3 linked regions of the Drosophila melanogaster genome follow. Changing the gene in region 1 together with any one later gene gives a genetic interaction. Each region holds a gene or a part of one and is shown in the gene's direction. Other genes may lie near its edges.

What was found.
Region 2: of CkIIbeta (region 1) and S6kII, changing one suppresses a phenotype caused by changing the other (phenotypic suppression), as found in Drosophila melanogaster (one study listed by BioGRID).
Region 3: of CkIIbeta (region 1) and Pdfr, changing one suppresses a phenotype caused by changing the other (phenotypic suppression), as found in Drosophila melanogaster (one study listed by BioGRID).

Annotation. Positions count from the first base shown.
Region 1 is NC_004354.4:11,790,670-11,795,543, forward strand, and holds the start of CkIIbeta (casein kinase II beta subunit), read left to right. Parts: upstream 1-1,863; 5' UTR 1,864-2,017; intron 2,018-2,044; exon of another isoform or gene 2,045-2,076; intron 2,077-2,209; exon of another isoform or gene 2,210-2,610; intron 2,611-2,773; 5' UTR 2,774-2,777; coding exon 2,778-2,849; intron 2,850-3,128; coding exon 3,129-3,231; intron 3,232-3,304; coding exon 3,305-3,496; intron 3,497-4,149; coding exon 4,150-4,339; intron 4,340-4,435; coding exon 4,436-4,517; intron 4,518-4,874. Other genes in the region: karl, read left to right, coding at 189-326, 392-515, 689-1,062. UniProt on the Drosophila melanogaster protein: Participates in Wnt signaling. Plays a complex role in regulating the basal catalytic activity of the alpha subunit.
Region 2 is NC_004354.4:22,528,404-22,535,971, forward strand, and holds the start of S6kII (ribosomal protein S6 kinase II), read left to right. Parts: upstream 1-1,560; 5' UTR 1,561-1,947; coding exon 1,948-4,099; intron 4,100-4,452; coding exon 4,453-5,036; 3' UTR 5,037-7,568. Other genes in the region: CG17600 (uncharacterized protein), read left to right, coding at 1-178, 339-809, 867-988.
Region 3 is NC_004354.4:2,570,397-2,577,513, forward strand, and holds Pdfr (Pigment-dispersing factor receptor), read left to right. Parts: upstream 1-1,809; 5' UTR 1,810-2,270; coding exon 2,271-2,450; intron 2,451-2,577; coding exon 2,578-3,034; intron 3,035-3,103; coding exon 3,104-3,214; intron 3,215-4,075; coding exon 4,076-4,227; intron 4,228-4,466; coding exon 4,467-4,724; intron 4,725-4,795; coding exon 4,796-5,092; intron 5,093-5,158; coding exon 5,159-5,422; intron 5,423-5,497; coding exon 5,498-5,658; intron 5,659-5,720; coding exon 5,721-6,057; 3' UTR 6,058-6,609; downstream 6,610-7,117. UniProt on the Drosophila melanogaster protein: Receptor for PDF, a neuropeptide controlling circadian behavioral rhythms. Probably regulates circadian behavioral rhythms through coordination of activities of clock neurons. PDF-binding results in the elevation of cAMP synthesis.

The DNA of each region.
Region 1 (4,874 bases):
AATCTTAACCAGAAACCCTCGCTGTCTAATGTATATATATATAGGTAATAGAAAAAAACTCCTATCATAAAGTATAATAGATCTTTATCATTATAGATTACATTATATATTATATTATACAACATTATAAAGACCTCCTCTAAATTACTTACATATCTAACTTATTATGGAACTAATTTTCCGTTTAGGTGGGAGCCATTAAGAACTTCGATTTGGAGCGCATGATGGGCTGTTGGCACGTGGTTCAGTATTACGCATCCACAGAGGAACTTCCGGAGTACGCGTGCATGCGCAGTCACTTTTCCTTTTCCAAAGAGGATCAGCATGTGAGTGGCAGCAAGGACCTTTATCCCTATTACAAATTATACCTCAATACCTCAATTTAAATTAGATAACGATGAACTTTAGCTACATATTTGCGGAGGATCCGCTGCGCGAGAAGCTCGTGGGCAACATCACCTGGATGATACCCAAATTCCAAGAGCCAGGACATTGGCAGCACACGGAGGACATATGTGAGTGATGGAAATGTTTCTACAATCAAATTCAAAACGAAAATCTATTCAAAATGTAGTTGTGATACGTTTGAAGTAGTTTGGTAATTACTATGCCAAAGAGTAATTCGATCTGCCCGGGTTTAATATATGTTTTAAGCAGTATTTTCGTTTCTATATGTACCTCCTTGCAGATGAGGGCATCTACAACACATACGTTCTGGACACGGACTACGACACCTGGGGCCTGGTGATGCACTGCGCCGAGAAGAAGAAGCAACCACGTTACCTGTCCGCCCTGCTTTTGTCGCGGAAAACATCGTTGGCCGACAACGAGATCAGCTTTCTGCGCGGCAAGTTGCCGCAGGATATCGACACATCCTTTATGTTTAACATCGGGCAGGAATCGTGCGACAATCTAATGGAATCTAGTCGCGACGATCCACTGGCCTATGTTGTGAATGGACGCAAGAGAGCCAAGGAAATCTTCAAAATTATCAATAAGCCTGACGGCAGAGTGCGCGCTAGTAGCGAAGCGAGAAGCTATGAGCAAAGCGAGAAGCTGTGAGCAAAGCGAGTCGATGGCAGAGTAAGAGCTAAGCGAGAAACGAGCTACATTGCTCTCTTTTAGTTATTAATGTGAACGTGATGGATTCGGACGAGGAATTTTTTGCATCAAGCGCAACTATTAACTTTCTGTTAAAACTGTCGTCCACCCTCTTAACTGAAATAGAAATGAAAAAGGCGAATTCAATAATTTATATAAAAGGTTATTTACAGAATGGAACAAGACAAAACAAAATAACGTGTGTTTTGAAAATAAACGGTAATATAGCGCAGAATATAACAAAACAATCGTACGCCCTGAGCGAGTTGAAGCGATAAGGCCTTGCTCTCGCTTTTTCGCTTAAGCTCGCAACTCGCTTCGCTCTCACTCTGACATCTTTCGAGCGATTGCGCTTAAAATGCATGCAGTGGGTTTATCGCTCGTTCTTGTATTATTAGTCTAATCAATCAACTAAGAGAAAATATTATACGAAAACCCGATTTATTTTGTCAATAATACAAATTTAAATAAGCACTTTCAAACATTTCAAACTTTCAACATAGTGTTACCATACAACTAAACGAAATAATACCTTAAAGTAGTTGTAAGAAAATATTGCTAGCTGCAATCGGTAAATTATTTGACAAATGGCAAAACAGCCAACTAAATGCTGGTAATAAACAATATTTTAATATTTGGCTTGATTTGCTTATTTAACAAATAATTCCGCGTTTTGTTTGGTTAATTGCTTTTCCGAACCAGTGTTGCGAAACGCGCAATCCCGATTAGCCGATACATCGCTTAGCGATGACACGGCGCCACATCGATTGGCAATCGCCTGCGGACAGCGCAGGACAGCGGTAATCGATAGTCGAGATTGCATACCTGATATCATCGTCTTCGCTACAATATTTGCCTTTACCGGTTCAGCTGCAGTACAAAAGTCGATCAATTTGAGTAATTATTAACAATTTGGGTGAGTGCTGGCCACTGGAAGATAGCCGCAGCGGGAAAAATACAGAATAGCAAGTTGGTGTGCGTTGGATTGCGCTCATCGGTGTAAAGGCGTGCGTGTGTGCACGTCCCTATGTGCGCTTCGCGGTGTGCGTGTTTGCTTGTGTGCGTGTGGTGGCCCCTGTATATGTGTCTCTTTTTTTCTCAATTTCCAACAGTGTGTGCTTCTTCTTGCTGCTCGGCACATTTTGTATGAGCGCTTGTCAATTGTCACAATACGAGTATAAAAATTTATTTTTATGCCCCCCGACCACACGAATTTCAACGGTGCGATCACCGAAAACTAGTAACATTGTACAAGCAACGCGAATTAAACGGAAAACCGAAAACAAAAACCCCAAAAGGCCAATCCAACCAAAAAAAAAGAGGAGGAAAGAAGAAAAAAGCGGAAAAAGAGAGTGTGGTTTGTGCGAGCAACAAGAAGCGGAACCAAAAGGAAACGTGAAGAAAGCAGGGGGGGTGGGGTAGACAAGAAAGTGCCAAGATTCCGTTCCAAGATATTTTAACAATAAATTTCGCACGCCAGCCCAAATTACGCAAAATAATCCCCTTAATGTATGTAATAGTGCGTGAGCGTTTGTCCCAGTGTGTGTGCCATGATTGCCTGTGTGTGTGAGAGTGCGGTGTGCATGTGTGGTATGCGTGTGCAGGATAATTTGTCAGCAAAAAAAAAACGATGAAAATATGAATTAGCAACTCCATTCGCTTATCTTTGCAGCAAAATGAGCAGCTCCGAGGAAGTCTCCTGGGTCACCTGGTTCTGTGGACTTCGTGGCAATGAGTTCTTCTGCGAGGTGAGATATCATCATCATATCAGCATCAACGACGAATTACCCGCGTTCTTCGCTGTAATCGCGTTATCTAAGCGCGCGCTATAAGTGCAACAATTGCAAAGTGCAGCCCTCAATCTCTGCCTTTGCGCGCGCGTGTGTGTGTGTGTGTGTGCGTGTGTGCCGCAAGGTGGGGCAATACCGAGCCCAACTGTACACACATGTCCAGATAACACACGATATAGTGGATATATGACAGTATATTCCAGTACAGATCCTAATTGCATACGCTTTTGATTCCAGGTGGATGAGGACTACATACAGGATAAATTCAATTTAACTGGTTTAAATGAGCAGGTACCCAACTATCGGCAAGCGTTGGACATGATCTTGGACTTGGAACCGGGTAAGTTTAGAATGGGCTGTTACCCATATCCAAAATTGTAATGTATATAGCTAATGCGCCTTACCATCCACAGAGGACGAGCTCGAGGACAATCCACTGCAGTCCGACATGACCGAGCAGGCCGCCGAGATGCTCTACGGCCTCATACACGCCAGATATATACTAACAAATCGCGGCATCGCTCAAATGATCGAGAAATATCAAACTGGCGATTTCGGACATTGTCCACGTGTCTACTGTGAAAGTCAGCCCATGCTGCCATTGGGTGCGTAACCAGATCCTTGATCAATCGCTCTTACCTATAGCTAACAAACATAGTTGCGAATCTTTCTGCGCGTAATTGATTGTAATCTAAAAAAAAAAAAAAAAAACAACATATCTACGAGGAACCTCGTGCTTTTCTGCCTAGTAATTACATAGCCAGAAACTATCAACGCGATTATTGGCACAACTTCTAATTGAGTTTCCTGAATAGCATATCATTGGGGCTTTCCCATGAAATCTTACACCAAGAAAAAAACAACGCATTCTTAATAGAAATTCTACCTTAATTGTCTGGCTTGGCTTGCCCTAGTTAAAACCTTCGCAACGCTTCCCGATCTCCAATAAATTCTTACCGAAACTTCCCTAAACGTTGTTAACGATCAAATAAAGCAATGCTGAATCAAATGCATGCACAAATGCAAGATAGGGTTTCACTAAACAAGGTCCCTCAATTTCTGTGAAAATTAACTAGGCCAAAGTGGCTAGACGAGCCTTGTAAACATTTCTGCTATTAATGATAAATGATCATGATGGATATCATGTTGAGTTAAATCAGGTTAAATATGTTTGTACCAGATTTCACCGATGAATTCTGACTTTTTCTAGTTGCTAGTTGCTCTGCCAGTGGTCTAATCCTTTGATTATTATCCTCAGGTCTGTCGGACATCCCCGGCGAGGCAATGGTTAAGACCTATTGCCCCAAGTGCATTGACGTGTACACACCAAAATCGTCGCGTCACCACCATACCGATGGCGCCTATTTCGGCACTGGATTTCCACACATGCTCTTCATGGTGCATCCCGAATATCGTCCCAAGCGTCCTACTAATCAGTTTGTTCCAAGGTAAGATTTATACCCATTACTGTATATGCACATTGTTAATATGCTCTTTTGTTTTATGTGCCCGATACGACGTCAACTTGATCATCACATACATAGGCTATATGGATTTAAAATACACAGCTTAGCTTATCAAATTCAGCTGCAGGCAGCAGCCAATTTTAAAATGCCACTACGAGCGGTAAATTTAAAACTTAATAACTAGCTATTAGTATCCTTTCCACCATTTACCCCACTCTCTCATCTTTTTTTGTTGTATTTTATTTTGGAATCTAAAATTCTATATATTGACTAAAAAAAACACAACGCCACCAAGGGATCATTCAACTACTAAGCATATAAATATATTATATCTTTTTTATTTGTTTTCTCTCCCCACACATACAAAACCACCAAACCAACCACCACCACCACCACAAAAAAAAACCAAACCAAATCAAATCAAACATCCATAAAATCCGATCGACAACCTGAACCTGAATATGATTATGAATACAATCATGTCTCTGCCTGTCTGAATAAAACCAAACATAAAACC
Region 2 (7,568 bases), about 11 Mb from region 1:
TTCGAGTCCTGTCTACGATGAGAAGCCGCCGGCGGTGAAACTCCTATCCGCCGCCCTAGACTTGGATGCCCAAAAATCCCAGGCAAACAATGATGACGATAATAAGCCCAATCTTATTTCGCACCAAGAGTTCAAACAACAGCTGCAGGAAGCTATTGCTTCGCGGCAACCAAACCAGGTAGGTCCTACAAAAAGTCAACCAAAATTAATCAATTTGTATCAGTTGAATCACCTAATAGGGCTAGAGAATCTTTAATTGTCCATTTCTGTACTGCCTTGCTCTCATTAATCCTCAGACAATCGAATATTGTACCAAACACATTTTTTCTTCTGTGCAGGTGAATGGCACTAAGAGTGGGGCCACCACTTTGGACTCCAGGATCAGTCGTAAACAGCGCTGTCCACCGGAATTTATTAAGTACAAGGAGGGCAGCGAGGGTGGAGGCAGTGGCTCATCGCTTTCCTCGAAAGATCGGCGCAAGCGCAAGGCGAGCAATGAATGCTGCTCGGCATTTCCACTGCAAATAGTGTTGGGCACTCTCCAGTTGCTCCTGGCCATATCGCTGGTGGCCCTGGGATCACTTCTGATCGTCCGAGAGGCAGCGCTCTCACTGGCGGGATGCGGCATCTGGACGGGATTGATAGCAGCCGTTACGGGCTCCCTTGGAGTGGTGAGCATGCGCAAAACCCAGACAGCGTTTTTGGCCCTCAGTTTGGTCTGCATCGCCAGCAGCACCCTGGCTCTGGCTATTTCCGGCGTGGGATTGTCAAGGGACCTCAACAGGATGGCGGAGCAAAAGGGTGAACAGGTAAAGCCGGGCTCTTCGCATTGAGGCATGTTTTTTTAATGGTTTCATCCATTCTAGTTCGACTTGATCGATACCAACAGCGAGGTTTCCGCTGCCTGCGGCCTAATTTTTGCCCTGTTTCTTCATTTTGTGGTCAGTATTGTATCCGTCTATCGTTGCGCCCTTCAGATTTGCACTAAGTAAGTAAGCTACTCCTACTACTCCTACTTTTATATATGAAAAGTGGTTGTTGTCCACTTTTGAAGCAATAATAATACTGAATCTATAAGCACAATGTTTTTTTTTTTATTGTTTTTAAAAGCGCTTGTACGATATCCATTAGTTTTTTACCAATTGAATTTGGAATGTTGCGGCTAATATAAGTAAGTAAGTCTGCAAAACCGTTGTATTTATTTAGCAAAGTTTCCGGAAATCAATATAAAAGGGATATAGAAATTTATAATAACGGTTTTTAGACGGTTTACACAAGATAACTTGTTTCGTGACGACGTTTTCGTAATGAATTGGTATTTTTCGCGTTTGGTATATTGCTAGACACGGTCACACGGGCCAAATCATTCTCAAATAAAACTATATTTATATGTTTTTTTTTTTTTAATTGAGTTATATAGACTTTTAAAACCGAAAGAATGTATTAAAAGTGTAAACAAAAATTTGCTGAATACGCACAGTAAAAACATCGGCTGCAAAAAGTAAATCGATGTTTTCGGAAAACTGAAACTATCGATGTAATCGATGGTAACATCGATTTTTTTGCAGCTCTAAAAAAACTTTATTGTGAATGTGTAAATAATAGTGATAAGAAGCAACACAGCTGTGCGGATTGCGAAGCGGATAGTAAAGCAGACGGCGTACGAAACGTGGGCGCATTAGGAAAGCGCTGCTTGTTGGCCGTAGGAGCAGCAGGGAAACCAGAGAAATCCGGAGAGGCAACAGCGCAGTCGACTGCGACGCCCACGCAGCGGAAGTAATAAAAAAGAAAAGTGAAATCGGAAGTAGGGAGAGTTCGGTGGAGGAGGAGCAGCAGGAGGAGTTGGAAACGCAGGGGGAACTCGGGCTCTAGCATTGTGCATCAGGATCTGGAAACAAAGGAACCGCTAGGAGCAGTTGCCTCACAACGCTAGCAGCCACCGAAGTCATGCCGCTGGCCGATTCGCAAAAGGATCTCCGCCAGCAGCCTCAGCAGCAGCAGCAGCAGCAGCATGTGTCCTCCACCAGCAGCAGCAACAATGCGGAGCAGCAATGCAGCAGCAGCGGATTGGGTCTGCAGCTGCGCCAGCGCATGCAAATTACCTCGTCCGGCTGCAGCAGCCTGGCGGTCACGCCCATGGAGCACACGCCCACCGAGGACGATGAGAGTGGCGGAGGCAACAGCGGTGTCACTTCCTCGGTGACCACTGTGACATCATCGCAACGCCGCCAGCAGCTGCAACAGGTGCAACAGCAATCTGCTCTGCAAGCGGCCCTCGAGCAGCATCACATCTCACCAACAGCAGACTTGGATTCCGCTAGGAAAAGGCCGACGCATCGAACCTTGTGCCCGCCGCCAGAACTTATGGAGCTGAGTGATTCCGAGTCCCAGGGAGGCGTGGAAACTGGCGGTAGGAGAGAAGGGGCTACTGGGCGAAGTGCACCTGATTTAGAAGACACCGAGCCCCTATATGAAACAGAAAACGAATTCGAGCTTAAGGAAGTCATCAAGGAGGGTCACGACAAGGCCGATCCTTCCCAGTTCGAGCTCCTACGGGTTCTGGGCGAAGGTAGCTTTGGAAAGGTGTTTCTAGTGCGAAAGATCATAGGCAAAGATGCAGGAACACTCTATGCCATGAAGGTGCTCAAAAAGGCCACCCTAAAAGTAAAAGATCGCGTAAGGAGCACAAATGAACGAAAAATACTAGCGGACGTGGGTCATGCTTTCATCGTACGTCTTCACTATGCCTTCCAAACTCCCGGAAAACTCTACTTGATACTGGATTTTCTTCGTGGCGGTGATCTGTTTACCCGTCTATCCAAAGAAGTAATGTTTACGGAAGAAGATGTCAAGTTCTATTTAGCGGAACTGGCGCTAGCTATGAATCACCTACACACATTGGGCATTATCTACAGGGATCTGAAACCGGAAAATATTCTACTGGACGAGCATGGCCATATAGCCTTGACGGACTTTGGTCTATCCAAGCAGCCTTTGGATGGCTCAAAAACATATAGCTTTTGTGGAACCGTAGAATACATGGCGCCGGAGATCGTGAACCGAAAGGGACACGATTTTGCCGCTGATTGGTGGAGTTTCGGGGTGCTCATGTACGAAATGTTAACGGGGAATTTACCCTTTCATGGCCAAACCCGCCAAGAGACTATGAATCAGATCCTTAGAAGTAAGCTGGGCATGCCGGAGAATTTGTCGCCAGAGGCGCAATCCCTGCTACGTGCTCTCTTCAAAAGAAACCCCCAGAATCGTTTGGGTGCGGGTGCCCAAGGAATTCTGGACATCAAGGCGCACTGCTTTTTTGCCACCATCGACTGGGTGAGATTAGAACGAAAGCAGGTGCGTCCGCCTTTCATACCGGCGGTTAGCCGTGACGATGCCTTTTACTTTGATGTGGAGTACACCTCAAAGTCCCCCAGGGATTCTCCGGGTGGCCCGATCTCCGCATCTGCCCATGAGATCTTCCGCGGGTTCAGCTTTGTGGCTCCTGTCCTTCTGGAAGGTCAGTGTGCTGGCTCGAATATGTGCTCCACCAGCGCCAGTCCTCTGCATAGTATAGCTCCTATTCCTGCTGCTCCAGTGGGAGCCCCTCGAACATTACCTGGTGTTCTTCCCGGAAACTTCCATGCGGAATATAATCTACTGCAAGAACTGGGACGTGGAACCTTTTCAGTTTGTCGGTTGTGCGAGCATCGAGCCTCCAAGAAACATTACGCAGTAAAAGTAATCGAAAAGGCAGCTGTGGCCGCAGCATCCACATCCACTTCTGCCGATTGTTGGGAGGAGGTGGAGATTATGCTGAGGTACGGCAACCACCCAAATATCGTCACTCTGTACTCTGTTTACGAGGATGCGGGGTCCGCATATCTTGTGATGGAGCTGCTTAAGGGTGGCGAGCTTCTCGATCGGATACTTGCCGTGGGCCAGATGTGCGAGAGTGAGGCCAGCGCGGTGTTAAGGACAATTGCATCTGCGGTAGCATATCTCCATGAACATGGCGTGGTCCATCGAGATCTTAAGCCTTCAAATATGATATATGCCAGTATGCGGCAAACTCCCGAGACCCTAAAGCTCTGCGATTTGGGTGAGTGCGGAGCGGAACTAGTTAAATATATTTTATTATAGCCTTGCAGTAAATTTTCCAATTGCTGACAAACATGATTCACTTTAAAAGCTAAACTTTCGTAATTTTTAATTCCTTTAACTATTATTTGTTTTCTAAGTTACTTTGTTATTTGCAATTTTAAAGGTTTCTTTTCTCCAAACAGAAGGTTTTTCATTTTAAGATCTTATTTAGCCAAAGTTCCATCCTATTGCAATTGAAATCATTTGATAATATTTAAATTCAGAAAGCATTTATTTCTGCAAGGCTATATATTTTTCTGTGCGAGTATTTCTTGTTGGTAGAGCAGGAGTAACCTTCCGATTTCCGCTTAGGTTTCGCGAAGCAGCTGCGCGCGGACAACGGCCTCCTGATGACGCCATGCTACACAGCCAATTTTGTGGCTCCCGAGGTTCTAAAGAGACAGGGCTATGACCTGGCTTGCGACATCTGGTCGCTCGGTGTGCTGCTTTACATCATGTTATCCGGCCGGACGCCTTTCGCCAGCACTCCAAATGATTCACCGGACGTAATACTGAAGCGCATCGGATCAGGACAAATTGACTTCACAAGCAGTCGCTGGGCACTGATCAGTGTGCCGGCCAAAGAACTTTTGCGTCAGATGCTACACATAGTACCGGAGAATCGGCCGACGGCGGCGCGAATACTTGAGCACGACTGGCTGCGGGAGCAATTCGCCGGCGGCGTACAGCTTACAGAGTATGCGGTGGCGCCCGGATCCCAACTTTCGCTGGGCGCCCAGCAGCAGCAGCAGAATCACATCTCCATGGCCTTAAGAGGCGCTGTTGATGCCACTTTCCGGGCTATTGCCATACCCCAGGCGGCGAATGTGGGACCCGTAGAACTTTCCATGCTCGCCAAGAGGCGGGCCAAAGATCGAGCCAACCTGCACTCCTAATCCTGGGCGGCTGCATGGTGTCCGCGGCGCCAGGCCAAGCGGCAGATAGTCCGACTACTTTTCCGAATCTATAGTATTCTAATCCAATGCTGCTGTGCCAATCCGCGTCGTCTTGTCAAGGACAATGCGCAGAAGCTTGGTTCACATCCACAAACGCTGGGCAATCCTCGCCAACGCTGCCGCAGCGCCAAGCTGCGTGTGGTTTAGGTTTTGGGGGAATCGGCCTAACCTAAAGTATTTGACAAGTGTTAATTATTTATTTTATATGAAAGCATGCCAATATGCCAAGGCCATAACGCACTGTGCGGGGCATCTATATACACATATATATAACTATACAAATACTGATATACATCTATATATAGCTATTTATATAACGAATCCTAAAGCAAGGGCCTAGAGAGCGCGTGTGAATGTGGCGCCAGGATCATCCCAGATGATTCCTGAAACCACATTATTTATCCCAAACTGGAAATTAAAAAAAAGCCTCTCGCCCAAGTTTACATATTTTTAATTAAATTAATCGTAGCTAAATTTTTCAACATCACCGTGTTATTGTTGCTTAATTAAATTAATTAAAATGAAAAAAAAAATGGAAAAAAGTATTAGCAAAACAAACAAAAATTAAGAATAAAAGCCGCAATCCTTTTATATAATAATAACTTTTTTCGCCAAACTATAAAGGAAGAACAAAGAACCCAAAAAAAACTGTGTAGAAAGATAAGAAAATCAAACCACAAGAGTTTCCACAATTCTTACTTGGAATGTCAATTTGCACAATGAAATATGAAACTAAGCAAAAGATAAACATAACTACCATATTATACAGAATGTGTACATAAAGCGGAAACTGTGCTTTTCGGGTTTATAAGGCAAAGGATATTAGAAAAGAGTATTTTATTAATAATTCCCTAAACAATAAAAACCGACGTTCTTTCCAACACTGCACAAGGGTGCATATTGTTATTTAATTGTAATTAAGAAACGTAAATCCTGCTAACTTGTCTTACAGTCGCGAAACGCACAGTTTAGTTGTAATAACGCCGGGGAAACAGTTGTGACAACATCAAATTGGGTTTCCATTTTGTTTGCTAACGTCTTCCAACAGAAATTATATCAAACAATATACCTTTTTGCGCTGTAACCAGATATAGAAAGTTCCGACTTACCATTGGATGATTTAGAACCGAAACCGCGATATATTCCATCATACTCGTACTGAATACAAATAGGATAGCGTCGTATAAACGACTTGGGTTAATGCAGAGAATTCCATTTGTTTGTGCTAGTTTCTCTAAAAACTGCACGATCATCAGTTCCCAACAACTTGTTTCGACTCTTCGAAGACAATTCCAATTTTGTTGTATTTTTGCCAAGGAAAACTTGTTAAAATTATGCTAGAGGGAAATATACAAAAAAAAAAAAAGAAAATACAAGCAAAGTGGAACGAAATTGAATAAATTATGTAGAAGAGCCATGTGAATCCTTAGAAGCTATGTATGCCACTTGAAAAGCAGAAGTTTCTTGTTTGCGAGCTTGTGTGTGTGCATAAGAGGCTGTGTGTGTGCTTCTTGTAAGTGCATGTGTGTGTGTGCTAAAGGATTATTGTGCTGTGCCACTACTGAACTTACTGCTACCAAAAATAAAACAATAACTTCATATACATATTTACACCACCTAAACAAGGTTAGTAAAACTTAGAAATTTTTTAAAAAAGGATAACATCCCTTGAATAAAACTGTATTTTCGTGGTGTTATTAAAAGGAGTTGGAGGGGGAAAATGGTATGATTATCCTAAAGTACATATATAATTAGCTAGCTGCGGAGGGAAAACAATGTGTACACATTGACATATAATATAGAAAATATTTAAGAAGGATCTTGAGATGAACATTTCGCCTAATAGTTGTCACGATAAACTTTTGCAAAATATGTTGCGTCTACAGCAATGATTTATACTTAATTACCTTGTTTTGAAATGACGACAACCAAATTGAAGGGATACGTCGTTTCCCTGCTTCGTTTTTTAACAGATTCATACACAAATTATAAAACGAAGTTGAGACAGGCAGAAAAAGAATTTTAGTCCACGGGCTGATGAGAAATCTAATCCAGCGATTAGATTAAAACTCATGTATACAAAAGTGGCCTACTATGATAAAAACTGTAATCATTTATCAATAATTCCGAACGGTCTCTTACAAAAATGTTCGGGTTGCACAAAAAGGACAGAGACAACAGATAGTTTAAGCATACAATACAAGCAACCCACTTTAAAGCCAACTCTCGACTAAATTCCCCAAGAACATACATATATATCTTAATCATATATATGAATGCGTGAATATATTTTCTTAGTAGATTTTAACAGCTTCCAGACTATACATACATTCAAATGATTGAATTCCGATATGAATCATTTAATTAATAAACATATTCAACGAAACTGATTCGAAATTATTGTTAAGTTGAATTTTTCAAACCAAGCAGAAGGAACCTAATTGAAAAACAAATAACCAATTCGAATTGTTT
Region 3 (7,117 bases), 9.2 Mb from region 1:
GATTGCCTGTCACTATCCACTATGAGTATCCACCCATCAAGTGGAATTGACAAGCTATTTGGGGCATTGCAATGCGTGTTAAATAATTGAATTGCTGAGTGTTCAATAAGAAAGTTGATTAATTATTCAAACGGCCCAGCATGTTTGGGTTTCCAAATTGTAAACAATCGAGTCCAGAGCTCGTTCAATTATCGGCCTGAAAATGGATTGCTCAAGTCAAAAAAAAAAATATATGCCAAGGGCGTAATAAATATAAAAATGTGCTTATGTAATATGCAAGAACATTTTGATTAACAAGCCTCTTCTCGATTGCCAACTACCAACTACCAATAATATTTGTAAGCTCTACTCTGTACACACTTTACACACAAACAAATTGCAGTTGAACAAACCACTTTCCTCAATGTAATTAAATTTTAGTTACTTTCTGTTTCTGACTGGTGCTAACTTTAAATTGCACAAGTATTTAAAGGGGTCCCTTAATCCCTCAACCCCATAACCCGCACGCTGCAACTGCTGCCAAGTGACCCAAATCAGGGTCTGTTGTCTGCTTGGAGATGCCGAATCGCGGCATCCAGCATCCATCCAGTTGGTTATCCAATCCAATCCAAGCCAAGCCAAGCCAAGCCAAACCAAACCGTTTCCAATCCCTGGCCCCGCCACTGGCTTTTCAGTCGCTTTGGAGGGGATTTTGCGCTTAGTTAGCTTAATTACGAGCGCGAGCTGAGAATCGGTTCGCTGCGGCGATAAGCATCGATTGGTAAATAAGCAGCGAATTCAAGGCTCCCGAAAGGCTTAATATCTTAATTACTTAATTATATATTTTAAATATATATATATATATACATATACCGTATATATCGTTGATTTTTTGCGCTGTGGGAGTGCTTAGTCGCAAAGTTTTTGCTAATGCTGCACTTCGTCTGACGCTGGCGCTTATGCAACCAAAATACATATTGAGCAGTACAAAGCCAGTGGAATGCCCCCAGGGATGCGGAAATGCGGAAATGCAGAGATGGATAGCTGAGGGGGGGGAGGGAGGTGGGTGAGCGTGTGGGTGGAGCATAGCCTGCATGCATGCATTCGTGTGCAGCGACTACTGGCGAAATTGAAATTCTTATGAAATTATATAAAATGCACTCAAAGGCATTTTTGGGGCAGCTTAGCAACACAAGCAACACAAGCAACACAAGCAACATGGGCAACATGAGCAAAATGTGCAACTTTGGCCACTTTGGACGACCGTCCTCCGCATGGCTTGTTTACGCAATTCCGGAAGTGAAAAAACCAAAAAAAGAAAAAGAAATAAAAGTTGAGGCAAAAAAAAGCGAATGGCAACGTGTTTCCTGTGCCATTCCGCCGCCATTTGCTGCTGCTGCTGCTGCTGCTGCAACGCAACCAAGACAGGAAGAAATCATAATTTGTCGTGTGCGATTGTCATTGAAGTAATTTACATTCCGTTTAGCCTTGGCCATAAATTGCGCAGAGGAAAATATGTGATGCCGTCATTAAAATATGAAATCTTGTTTTTCACAAAACGTGCCACTAAATGATAAACAAGCTGTTGTTTTTCATTGGGAATTACTCCATCTCATTTGTGCAATGATAAAAGCATTACATTTTCGAGTCTGCACGATCGTATCATCAGTTGTTTGCAGGACCTTGAGTTCTTCATACAAAGTTTTAGCTGCTCATTTTTAATCTGTTCCTTGTGCAGAGATTACACTTCTCCGAAAAGAGCCGACACGTAAATTGGAAAAGGGTTAGTGCAACTGTTGTTGCAATTACAATTCATCACATAGCCCGTAGTTCCTCTTCCTGCTGCACAGAAAGAAATTGGTATGTGGCGATCGTTGCAATGCCATGCAATTCAATGCCCAATTCAAAAATATTTGAAATGTGTAAACAACTCACTTGTTTTCTTTTCTGCGTGCATGTGGTGCTCCTGGCCATTTGCCATTTCGCCAGGCATAATCCCGACAATCGGTGCGATGTGGGTGATACGAGTGCGAATGCGAATGCGAATGCCAATGATATGTGTATTGTATGTATGTGCATACATATGGCGTCGTAGCGTGTGGGCGTGATGTTTGCACTCCGGTGCAGCGGGACTATAAATAAGCCGGGTATTTATTAGGGGCAATCATAAACTGCGTTAACGACGGGCACTCTGCCAACGAGAATAAGATCCGGTAAACAAAGGCACCGGTCGACGTACGTCTCATTGTGCGATAAGCTTTCAATTAAATCTGACCCGGATAACGGGGCGCATGGGTGCGGGAAATCGGAAATCGGAAACGAAAACGAAAACGGAAGCGGAAATCGAAATCGAAATGGAAAGAGATCAATTTTCAATTGCAGCCAATGCATGCATGTCCATGGGTCCAATGCTAATATCGAAAGACAAAGCTCCGTGTTCTGGAGGTCGTGTTCGCCATGCAGACTCATTGGTTGGTTGGGTTTAACTCGTACAAAGTTTGATGGGTTTGGGATTGTTTTTTTTTTTTTTTTAGAACGATATAACTCGATATAATGCTGGTGCGTAAATAACAACGATGTTCATTGTTCGCTTTGCAGCACATTTACTATGCGGTCGATGGCAAAATGACCCTCCTGTCGAACATTCTCGACTGCGGAGGCTGTATTTCCGCCCAGCGCTTCACCCGCCTGCTGCGCCAGTCCGGCTCATCAGGACCATCCCCATCTGCACCGACGGCCGGAACATTTGAATCAAAATCCATGCTGGAGCCAACATCCTCGCACAGCCTGGCGACCGGACGCGTGCCACTACTGCACGATTTCGATGCCTCGACAACGGAATCGCCGGGAACGTATGTCCTCGACGGTGTCGCCAGGGTGGCCCAATTGGCCCTGGAGCCCACCGTCATGGACGCACTGCCCGATTCGGACACGGAACAGGTTCTCGGTAATCTCAACAGCAGCGCGCCCTGGAATCTAACGCTTGCGTCGGCAGCGGCCACCAATTTCGAGAACTGCTCGGCGCTTTTTGTCAATTACACCCTACCACAAACAGGTACCTAAAGCCTAATAACTTTTAAATCATATTGCAGTATTTTTTTTTTTTTTTTTGTTGCCGGGATAGGACTCTACTGCAATTGGACCTGGGACACATTGCTCTGCTGGCCACCCACTCCGGCTGGAGTCCTTGCACGGATGAATTGTCCTGGCGGCTTTCATGGCGTAGATACGCGCAGTAAGTAACTGAAATACACTCTAAAAAAAAAGCAGCCGAAAAAGAACATGCTGAGTACAATTAGCATAATTAATCGTTGAAGCTGTTTAGCTGTTTAGCAGCCACAAGAAGCTTTATGACTTCTGCCGGCTTATTAGGAGTCAAAAGACATGTCCTACGGTGTTTATCCCATCCACACGGCATATCTGGCGGTCACAATCATACGGATCATTAGCTGGGAAACGGTTCAAGTGGTGCACGGCAAACAATTACTTGATTCCGTATTCATCGAAAGGATGTCAATATTTACATGCATGACTGGGGGCGTCCAATCAACCGCACTCCCAGTCGGGGCCGCCCCTCCTTGGCTTCCATCGCCGGGGGCTGTCCAGGTGTTTCATGTGCACCCTCGAGCTCCGCCAGTTGAACAGGGTTTAAAACACCAGCCAATCGATTGCTTAATTACGATCCTAAATGCTTGCTCTACCCCTCCGATAAATTAAACGTTCTGCAATGGGGAATTGCTATTTAATAACCATGGGCGATATACACTGAGCGAAAAGATTCTAAGTAGCTGACTTACCACCCAATATTTTACAAACTTAAAATGCTCTTCCATTATCACTAGTGAATGTATTATCTGCGCTTGTGGTGCAAAATCTAGGCATATCGAACTATATCTGTTAAGAAATAATTATTCGAGTGCATTGTTGAGCTACGGCCTCATTTCTCCGGGCCGTGTCTAGATTTTTAGCCCCAATATTTTCAACTGGACGAGGTCGGTCGCCCATTCGATTGGCATAATTGCACTTGTCAGTCAGTGTGTCAAAGCTCGATTACTGTCATTAATCCAACCCAACCTCCCTCTTTTTCGGTTCGCAGAATTCGCCATCCGAAAGTGTGAGCTGGATGGTCGATGGGGCAGCAGGCCAAATGCCACGGAGGTGAATCCGCCGGGATGGACGGACTACGGGCCGTGTTACAAGCCGGAGATTATCCGTCTCATGCAGCAGATGGGCAGCAAGGACTTCGATGTGAGTTGAATTCTTTCCACACTACATCATAATACCTGTTTCAGTTATAGTTAAGAGCATTGCTTAAATGCCAACCAAAATCCCAAATCAAGGGTATGGTTTTGAAATTACCTAATAGGGTTCCAAGTTTTTTAGACACCCTAAAAAGTGATTTCAAAGGCCTGATTACATTTGTTGATAGTGGTTTATAGTAGTAGTTTTAATTCCATTTCTTCCAACTGGTTTGCGATATCCCTTAGGCCTACATAGACATTGCCAGGAGGACTCGAACCCTGGAGATCGTGGGCCTCTGCCTCTCCCTGTTCGCCCTTATAGTTTCCCTGCTGATCTTCTGCACATTTCGCTCGCTGCGAAACAATCGCACCAAGATCCACAAGAATCTTTTCGTCGCCATGGTGCTGCAGGTGATCATTCGCCTGACCTTGTATCTCGACCAATTCCGGCGGGGAAACAAGGAGGCGGCCACCAACACGAGTCTCTCTGTCATTGAGAACACGGTAGGCTTAATATTCCCGCATAAGGATAAGGTATAAGGCTTATGTTCGATATTATATGTTATGTTCTACAGCCCTATTTGTGCGAAGCATCCTATGTACTTCTGGAGTACGCTCGTACCGCCATGTTCATGTGGATGTTCATCGAGGGCCTTTACCTGCACAACATGGTCACCGTGGCCGTTTTCCAGGGCAGCTTTCCCCTCAAGTTCTTCTCGCGACTCGGCTGGTGTGTGCCCATTCTGATGACCACCGTGTGGGCGAGATGCACGGTCATGTATATGGACACCTCGCTGGGCGAATGCTTGTGGAACTATAATCTCACGCCCTACTACTGGATCCTCGAGGGGCCACGACTAGCGGTCATACTGGTGGGTAATATCAACTGTTGATCGCTTTAATCACCTATTCACCCAACTGAAAACATCCGCATGCAGCTAAACTTCTGTTTCCTGGTGAACATTATCCGAGTGCTGGTAATGAAGCTGCGTCAATCGCAGGCCAGCGATATAGAACAGACTCGCAAGGCAGTTAGAGCGGCTATAGTCCTACTACCACTTTTGGGTATAACCAATCTCCTGCACCAGCTGGCTCCTCTGAAAACGGCCACGAACTTCGCGGTCTGGTCGTATGGCACCCACTTTCTCACCTCGTTTCAGGGATTTTTTATAGCGCTAATTTACTGCTTTCTAAATGGCGAGGTAAGACATCAAGTCACTCAGTTGTCCATTTGCCTAAAACCCTCACTATTTCCAACCAAAATATATATTTTTTAGGTTCGTGCCGTGCTACTAAAGAGTCTGGCCACCCAGCTGTCGGTGCGAGGTCATCCGGAATGGGCGCCGAAAAGGGCATCTATGTACTCGGGTGCTTATAACACGGCGCCGGATACGGATGCAGTGCAGCCTGCAGGAGATCCATCGGCCACTGGAAAGCGGTAAGCATCCGCTTTGTGCACACCCCACCTTGAAACTCCTTACATCAATTTAAAACTCCCAGAATATCACCGCCGAATAAAAGGCTGAATGGAAGAAAGCCGAGCAGTGCCAGCATTGTGATGATTCACGAGCCTCAACAGCGCCAGCGACTGATGCCCCGGCTGCAAAACAAGGCGCGGGAAAAGGGCAAGGACCGGGTGGAGAAGACGGATGCGGAAGCGGAGCCGGATCCGACCATCTCCCACATTCACAGCAAGGAGGCGGGCAGCGCGAGATCGCGAACTCGCGGCTCCAAGTGGATAATGGGCATCTGCTTCCGGGGTCAAAAGGTACTAAGAGTACCGTCAGCGTCATCCGTGCCACCCGAGTCAGTTGTATTTGAGTTGTCAGAGCAGTAGACCAAAACCTAGCCTAACTAATAGATGTAGCCATAGCCGTAGCCAAATAGCCGTAGAAGTAGCCAACGCCATGTAGCCCACCACCACAGTAGCCAGCACCCACACAATCGGACCGGAAATGATCCCAAAGATAACCCAGAACCCGACTATTCCTGCATCTCCCATCGACCCACCAAGCAAGCCAGCTGGAAACAGCACATATGTAAAATACCCCAACAAAATATCGCAGTTCTTATACCCAAGATCATTTTGAACAGAAAGTAAGCTCATTGTTTTGTAATTCAAATTAAACCAATAGACATTTAATTTAAATAGTTATTTTCGCTTGCCTTCGGTTCTTGCTCCACTGTACTTATGTAAATACATACATACCTTTATTTGTGTAAGCCATATCCAAACCCTTTCCAAAATCTAGAAATCTCCTATCCTTTCGAAATCGGCTAATCCTACGAAAATTCAAATTTCCCTACAAGTTTTACAAAATATTTTTGATGACAATAAATTTCCAATAGCGTCACCTTCTGTTCTGGACACGCAAATACATTCAAAAACACTCGCACACGGTTCTTACTCGATGAATTTTTCAGCAAAACTTCAGCGGCATGTTCTTTTACTTCTACTATTCATATTTAAATATTAGATTGAAATATTTAAGTGAATTAACACAAACTTGCGGTAACTGCGCAGTGTGGCCAGGCTTTGTGAGCCATTAGAACTTATTACATAACATAATTGAAAAGTGACATTGTTTAAAGGAACTCACCTTTAATCAACTGTTGAACTTGCTGTTCATCGGATTCCGTTATTAAGTTTTAAGATTTGGGTTTACTTGTATTTACATTTTCTTTACCACTTTGATTAGCTTACACTTTCCGTTCCTGAGCTGGTCACACTGCCAGCTACAATCGATCACGTTCACTGCAACTGCCTTGAATTTTGCTAGCTGCGCTTTGTTGTGCAACAAAAACTTTGCCACAATCGATATTTAACTAATGGGGTCCATAATCGGAGACACATAAATGCAATAAATATCTTTTCGGCTATTCTCTCCTCCTTGTTT